2 linked regions of the Cricetulus griseus genome follow. The protein of the gene in region 1 interacts with the protein of each later gene in a pairwise test. Links are inferred from orthologs where the notes say so. Each region holds a gene or a part of one and is shown in the gene's direction. Other genes may lie near its edges.

Region 1 (3,970 bases):
CCCTTCCGCTTCAGACTCCTGAAATCTGGGATTACAAGTGTGGACCACCACACGAAGCTCCTATTAGTCTTAGAATATTCAAGTGATTGATTAAGTGACGAAATACACGAAACATACTCCTAAAATAAAACTTCCACTATTTCAAAGTACCTCTCAGTACCCAAACTATAGTATTTGCTTTAAACTCTACTGACCACTTTCAAATCGCCTTCCAACATTATTGTTGACCTAAAACATTTTACTCCTTTATCATCTTCTCCATTCAATTATACTCACGGCTTATTTAAATCTACCAGTGCCAAACACCTATGTAGGTCTAGAGCTCCTTCATCCTCCTAAGGAGTGTCTATTTCTCCAACTTTCACTATAATCATAACAGATTTTCATATGCTTAATTCAGCCGTTCTCACAGCGTAGTCGCTGAAAAATAGGCAGCCAGGTATCTTGCTAAGAATGCAAATTCTTAGGCCCATCCACACTGTAGGGATAGGGCCTAGCAATCTTAAGCTCTCCAGGGATTTTGAAGCACCTCAAGTTTTAAAACAATGTTAGTTCTACAGCTCAACATTCATTATCTAAACAGGCCAAAGATTAACTTCTGGCTTTTAAACCAACCACAGGCCTCTCCCTGGCAATACCTGTAGCAAGCACAACCCGTGGGATCCAACCATTACACAACTTCAATGTGTAATACCTGAGATGACCGAATAATAGCTGCGTTATCATGGTTCCAGAACAAAAGCTACGGCAGTGGATTTCCCGGGGGGGTTTACCAACGGACGCTGGGCAGGACCGAGTTCCTGCATAGCTTTTTCCTCGGTTGGACACAGGGAGGCACCTCAAGCCCGTGGGCTCTGGGTCTGGCAGAGTTAGAGCGGGGCTCAGGCCGGGTGGGGCCTGGGGAACCCGCCAGGTGGGGCTCCCACCTCGGCTCCGAGCCTCCCGGGATAAGGGGCGGAGGGCCAGGGGAGGACCGGCCAGGCCCAGACCCCGCTGACCGGCGCGGAAGCCGCACCCTCCTCGCCCCAGACGCCGGCAGGGCGGAGCCACGCGGCCGAAGCCCCGGCTGAGACGCGCGGCACGGCGCGGCGCGGGCTCGCTGCTGAGACGTATGGGGCTGCCACAGGAGCGGCTGCGCCGCCCGCCCGGGTCAGCGTGGTGCGCATGCGCGGACCCGGCGCCATTTTGGTGGCCGGGCGCGGAGGTGATTCTACACTGAGGGGGAACGCGGCGGCAAGGGTGGCAGTGGCAGCGTTCGTGTGCTCGGGTCCGAATCACTGAGGGAGGAGGCGGTGGAGGAAGAGGTGGCGGCGGTGGCGGTGGTCGTAGCGGTGGCGGAGGAGGCGGGTACGAATCAGCTGCGGGCAGAGACATGGCCAACATCGCGGTGCAGCGAATCAAGCGGGAGTTCAAGGAGGTGCTGAAGAGCGAGGAGGTCAGAAATGATCTACCGGACACCCCCATCTCAGCCCGGGGCGGGAGGGCCCTCCCTTCCGCGACCCCGGCGGTCCCGGCTGGCCTCGCTGCGGCCGCCTCTCAGCCGATGGGGAAGCGGCGCTCTCCCCTCCTCCTCCTGCCGCCTTTCCCTCCCCTCCCCGGGCCCTGGGATAGACGGTCTCGCGGGCGGCCGGCCGGCCTGGGGAGGAACGGGGTTTGGGGGACAGATGCAGAAGCACTTGTCGGGGACACGTGAGCTCTGGGGAGAGCCCCGAGGCGGAGGCAACATCTGTCTGTGTGGCTCTGGGGTGGGGAAGGAGCAGGCCGAGAAAACCCGGGAAGTGGGTTGGGGGAAGGGGAAAGATAGTAACTAGATCCCCGGCAGCAGCGCACCTCACAGGCCCACACTTTTCGGGGTACTCTGGGTATTGCTTGCCAGTCCTTTGCTGTCTTTTCTTTGAGGAAGGAGCCTACAGAGTCCTTAGGTATGAACGAAAGGAAGACATTCAGTTACTCCCTTGTAGTAGTGTTGGGGGACACATGGAGACATAATGGTCAGTCTCGTATTTGGAAGGGGTGTTGAAGCAGTTTTCATTACATATAGGAAATGAATTCCAAATTAGATAATCATCTCGTTTCCACGCACTCCACCAGTCACTAGGCCTCATCATTGACATTTAGTTGTTTGTCTGATGAAAGGCAAGAAGTTTGTTATTAAATGATTTGAACTAGGAAAAAAGGATGAGTAGCTTATTTCAAAATACTGTTTACCAATATCAGAGTCTCTCCTAGGGCAATGCCTCTGTGACTAGTGTACTGTGAAACTTCATTATGATGTCCCTTGTAGGTAACTTAAGTCTTACTTTTGAAAAGAGGCATATTAAAAACAAGAGATTTCATCAGATTCGCATTGTTGTAGCTCATTATTGAGTTAGGTTTGTTCTGATACAAAATATGTCACGTAATAGCATACTAAAAAATAAGACTACCCGTGAGTCCTTCAAAATTTAAATACGTTAATGCTGGTCATACTTATGTGAAATATTGAATTTTAACAATCTGACTCAGCTTTGCAAACAATAGTACAATTTTTCAGATCTGAATGAACAAAAATCCCAGATTTTCTGTGATTGAAGTTAGCAAGAAAATTCTGAAAGTAATTATCTTTCTCAAGGTTCACATTCCACTGTCCAATAAGCAGTGCTATATGTTCTTATGTGCTTGGTATTTTGATAATGCCAATAACGATCTTTAAAATTAGATATTTTAAGTATATGAGGAATTGTTACAAATCCTTTAGCACTCCAGCATTATTTGTGCCACTGAGTCTGCAGATAATTATCCATCTTTGGTAGAAATTTACTTAAAATTGAAGTGACTATATTTGCAGGCTTAGTGAACAGACTAAGAAATAAGTAGTGATCTGTCTTACATAGCATGAACTCTGACCTCTGTATTCATTTGCCAAAACTCTGAATGGAAGGATGACTTTGTATTTTTGTGGAACAGTGCAGAAAGTGTGAATGTCTGTATTCACATACATTTTAACAGTGATTTTAACTTTTTCTTTAATAAGCAAATGTACTTTGGGATTGTAGACATATATTCTTAATGAAAGATGAGAACTGATTTTGTTGTCAGCAGCCTAAAACGTTTTTTCTACAATAAGGTTGTACAAGTCTTTAGACTTGTAATGCTTTCTTTTATTTAAAAGTGTCAGGTTACTGGCCTGAAAATCCATATATCCTCTGCTTTATGTGATGTGACTTTCTATTTAAGTGATGGATTGAGGAGATGACTCCTTGGGTAAAGGAGGCTTGCTGCCAACCCTGATGACCTGAGTTCGGTCCGGAGGACCAACAAGGTAGAAGGTTATCCTTTGACCTCTATACCCACACATGCAAATAAAAGTTCATTCTCAAGAATGAGATTAAAAAAATTGTCATTATCTCTTAGGAAAACAGGGATTGCAAACACAAGTTATTCAGGAACAGTGCCTTTATAAACCTTGTAGGAACTTAGGAACCAGGAAAGTAAACTGCAAAGGATACTTGGAAAAGATCAGATAAAATTTAATATTGTAAACTGGTCATGGTAGCACAAGCCATTAATCCCAGCACTGAGAGGTAGAGGCAGGCTGATCTTTGTGAGTTAGAGGCCACCCTGGTCTACAGTGTTCCAGATAGCCATGGTTGTTAGAGAAACCTGTCTCAAAAAAAAAAAAAAAAAAACCAACAAAAAAAACCATTTAGTAATATAAAAAGCACTACAGTTAGTTCTATTCTCAGTATTTTGTTTCATCAATGTTTTAGTATGTTCAGTTCCATAGATAGGCTGTTGGTTAATTTTCACCTTAATGAAGGACCCATAGTGTAATCTATATATTTTATTTAAGTATATAAATGTAATTTTTCCAATAGCTGATCAAGTAATTATTTCAGCATGTCACCTCAGTAAATCTCCAGTGTACCAGGTTTAATTCATATGCTGGTGTTTAAGAATTTTGGTGGATCTAATGACTTATTTTTGACCA
Region 2 (3,500 bases), on another chromosome or scaffold:
TTTTTATTTTATGTGCATGTGTGTTTTGCCTGCCTTTATGCACATGCACCATGCATGTGCCTAGTGCCTCCGAAGGCCAGAGTTACAGATGACTATGAACCACCATGTAGAATAGCAAGCAACAAGCATTCTTAACCATTGAGCCATTTCTCCAGCCCAAGTATGAGTTGTTTGTTTTGTTTTGTTTCGTTTTGTTTTGTTTTTAAATGCCAAAGTGGAAAAATTGTCTATAGAGGGAATGTTGGGATAATGCCAGGGTCCACAGATTTTAGACATTGTTAAAGCTATGAAAGGCTATAATTAAAAAGTAAAAATGTGGGGCCAGAGAGATGGCTCAGCCATAAGAATACATGCTGCTCTTGCAAAGAACCTAGGTTCCATCCCAGAATCCATGTGGAAACTCACTACCATCCCCATTTCCATGAGATGTGACACTTTCTGACCTCCATGGGCATCAAGCAGACACACATGTGGTGCACAGACATTCATGCAGGCAAAACACACATAAAATAAAATATAAAAGAAATTTAGAAACAAGTTAAAAGAGGAGAGATAATAACCAGAGAAAGAAAAAACTGTAGGAATAAGAAGGGAAGCCCATGAAATGTGGTTGAAAAGTCTTACAAAGAACATTATTAGCCAGGTGGTGGTGGCGCACGCTTTTGATCCCAGCACTGGGAGACAGAGGCAGGCGGAACTCTGTGAGTTCGAGGCCAGCCTGGTCTTCAAAGAGAGTTCTAGGACAGTCTCTAAAACCTACAGAGAAACCCTGTCTCGGAAAAAAAAACAAAAAACAAAAGTAGACTGTGTGGAGAGAAAAAAAAAATCTCAAAGCTCAAAGCCTAACTGACCAAGTCACAGACAAAAGCCAAGTCATAGTCTGGCATATGCAAGAATGGAATAAATAATGATAGAAAATAAGTAAAAAGAATGCCGTTGGAGAGAATTTCTAACACAGTTGTGCTGAGTTGAAAGATGTGCTTCTCAGATCCCTTTGATTCTAGAAGGTTCTTCTTGGTGCTGTGTCAGAGCAGCTAGGGTCTTACATAGATCTTTACAGCTCCCATGTTCCCTGTGTTCTGGTGTGTGTGGAAGGATAGGTTCTAACTCCTTCCCAAGTGGTTCCCCTGCACTCTACCATGATGTCTTCTGGTCCTAGTAATGTTTTGACTGCTTTGTTGTGTGCACTTCAGTAGTGGACTTGGCTCTGGAAGTAGTCCATTTGTGGGGAAGCTCCTGCTTCCCTACAGTGATCTCTGCTGCCTTAATCAGATCATTTACAGACTATCACTTGCAGGAAATGGCTCATCATGTGTTACCATGACTAGTTTCTTTCACAGAGTTTCAGTTGCAAGGATTCTCACCCGCCATCTCAATGAGAAGTCTTAATTCCTGTTTTCTCTCTTCCTATCTAGGGTGTGGATGGCATCATATCATGGTATGTATAGCTGCCAGTGGCAGTCTTTCTGTGTGGTAAGAATGGCTTAGTCTTCAAATAGAACATAATTTCTCCCAGGTTGGGGCCATTTAGATGTAGTATTGAATTTCTGATTTAAAAAAAAAAAAGGGACCAAGTGTTTTGCCACTATTGAGGATAGATTAGAAATGGGTTGTGGGGAACTGTTTGGCTCAGTAGCGGGATTCAGGATAAAAGATTAGGGTACTCTTTGTTTGTTTTGTTTTGTTTTTGCTTTTTTGAGACAGGGTTTCTCTGTGGCTTTGGAGGCTGTCCTCGAACAAGGTCTTATAGACCAGGCTGGTCTCAAACTCATAGAGATCACCTGCCTCTGCCTCCCAAGTGCTGGAAAAGGCGTGAGCCACCAACACCTGGCTGGAAGAGGATATCCTTGTGTCTGGATAGCACACCCACATGGCCACACCAAAGATTTTCCTAAGACACTGGGATCATATTTGCTTTAATTTGATGTCCTCATCTTTTCCAACTATTTTTCCAAGAGAGCCTGAAAAATCAGATGTTATCAATGATTCTCTATAATTAGCTACAGGTTTTGAAGACATTGGACTTTTCCAGATGTATTTCCTATACTTGATTTGCTTTGAGCACCTGGGTATGGGTTCTGTTGCCTGCTGTTTGATCCTTTCCCAAGAAACCACATTCATGAAAATATTTTTCCACACCTTTTTCCCTAAGTACCTTAGTTTTGGTTTGCTTTAAGATTTTATTATGTTAACATCTCTTGTGAGTTCAAGGAAGCAGAGTGGGAGAAAATAAATTGCTTAATTTTAGAAGGTAAGAACGATGATTTTGAGAACATATGGCTTTCCCAATACCACACTGAAAGTAAGCTAGAGGGAACATGGTTGTATCCCCAGCTGGCAGGCTACCCTCTTCAGCATCCTCAAGAGAGCTCAAGTGTGTCTGTGGTTTGAAATGAGAGGAAATCAGTGGTGGTTGGGGGTCCTTAAGAGGGACTGGAGGTCAATTGTTTTTATCCTTAGGAGTCATGCCTTTTCACTCAAGAGACCCAAAACTATCCCCAAGGAACGAAGAAGAGTGTTCCGAGCCCCTGATCTGCAAGGCATGCTGCAAGTGCTGCAAGGTGAGGAGAGTTATGTTACATGACTTAGCTTTGGGAATCTAGTAGCTTCTAGATATGAACAAGGAAGGGTAGATACCACGTATGGATGATTTGACCATCTCTGATGGGACATGACCATCTTTGACCCTATTATGGTTTTCAACTCTTCCCCCTGATCTTGAGAAGAAATGGACTTTAGAATACCTTTGCTTTGCTTGCATTTAATATTGTGAATTTTTATCATTTCAGAGCTCATAGAAGCCCAACGTTACTGGGGTAAGGAGAAAATACAGCACATAAGCCACCCCCTTCTCACTGTCTTGCAGAGCTTATGTTTCTGTTAGGTGTCATGTTGCTTCTCCCAAGATATGTAGTATGCTTCTGCAATCTACCTCTGCTGTGATTTCTACACAGAGTTCCTTTCTTCTTCAACTTTTATTCATAACATCACAAATAAGGCTGTTTCCTGTCCTCATGACACTCCTGTCATTTTTGTGCAGTTCAAGTGACATTGATTGAAAACAACAATCCAAACATTGTCATTACTGCGGACAAGAGACAAATAAGATATGAAGACCATCAAACAAGAAATGTTGCATCTGGGGGTCAGAACTGTCGTGAAGGTGTCCTGGGCTACCCTGCTATCCAATCAGGAAAACATTATTGGGAAATGGATGTGTCTGGAAAAGGTGCCTGGGTTCTGGGATTAAGTGATGGAAGCTACCTCTTCAATCCGATATTTCATTCAAATGCTGAAAGATGCCTAAATCCTTTATTTCGTTTGGGTATCAGCAATGACTCACATTATCAACCTAAATATGGCTTCTGGGTCATAGGGTTGTGGAACAAGTTTGTGTATAATGCTTTTGAGGAGTGTACTTTCACAGGCAAGCCCAGGGTCTTGACCCTCTCGCTGATGGTTCCTCCCTGTCGCGTTGGCGTTTTCCTTGACTATGCAGC

Evidence for each region. The genes of interacting proteins can lie anywhere in the genome.
Region 2: the proteins of Ube2k (region 1) and tripartite motif-containing protein 30A interact in binary tests that used the Homo sapiens proteins (3 or more experiments, as listed by UniProt). The link is inferred for Cricetulus griseus from reciprocal best matches to the Homo sapiens genes UBE2K and TRIM5.

Annotation. Positions count from the first base shown.
Region 1 is NW_023276807.1:132,582,154-132,586,123, forward strand, and holds the start of Ube2k (ubiquitin-conjugating enzyme E2 K), read left to right. Parts: upstream 1-1,170; 5' UTR 1,171-1,372; coding exon 1,373-1,435; intron 1,436-3,970. UniProt on the Homo sapiens protein: Accepts ubiquitin from the E1 complex and catalyzes its covalent attachment to other proteins. In vitro, in the presence or in the absence of BRCA1-BARD1 E3 ubiquitin-protein ligase complex, catalyzes the synthesis of 'Lys-48'-linked polyubiquitin chains.
Region 2 is NC_048596.1:95,219,799-95,223,298, forward strand, and holds part of tripartite motif-containing protein 30A, read left to right. Parts: intron 1-1,415; coding exon 1,416-1,438; intron 1,439-2,460; coding exon 2,461-2,561; intron 2,562-2,789; coding exon 2,790-2,816; intron 2,817-3,040; coding exon 3,041-3,500.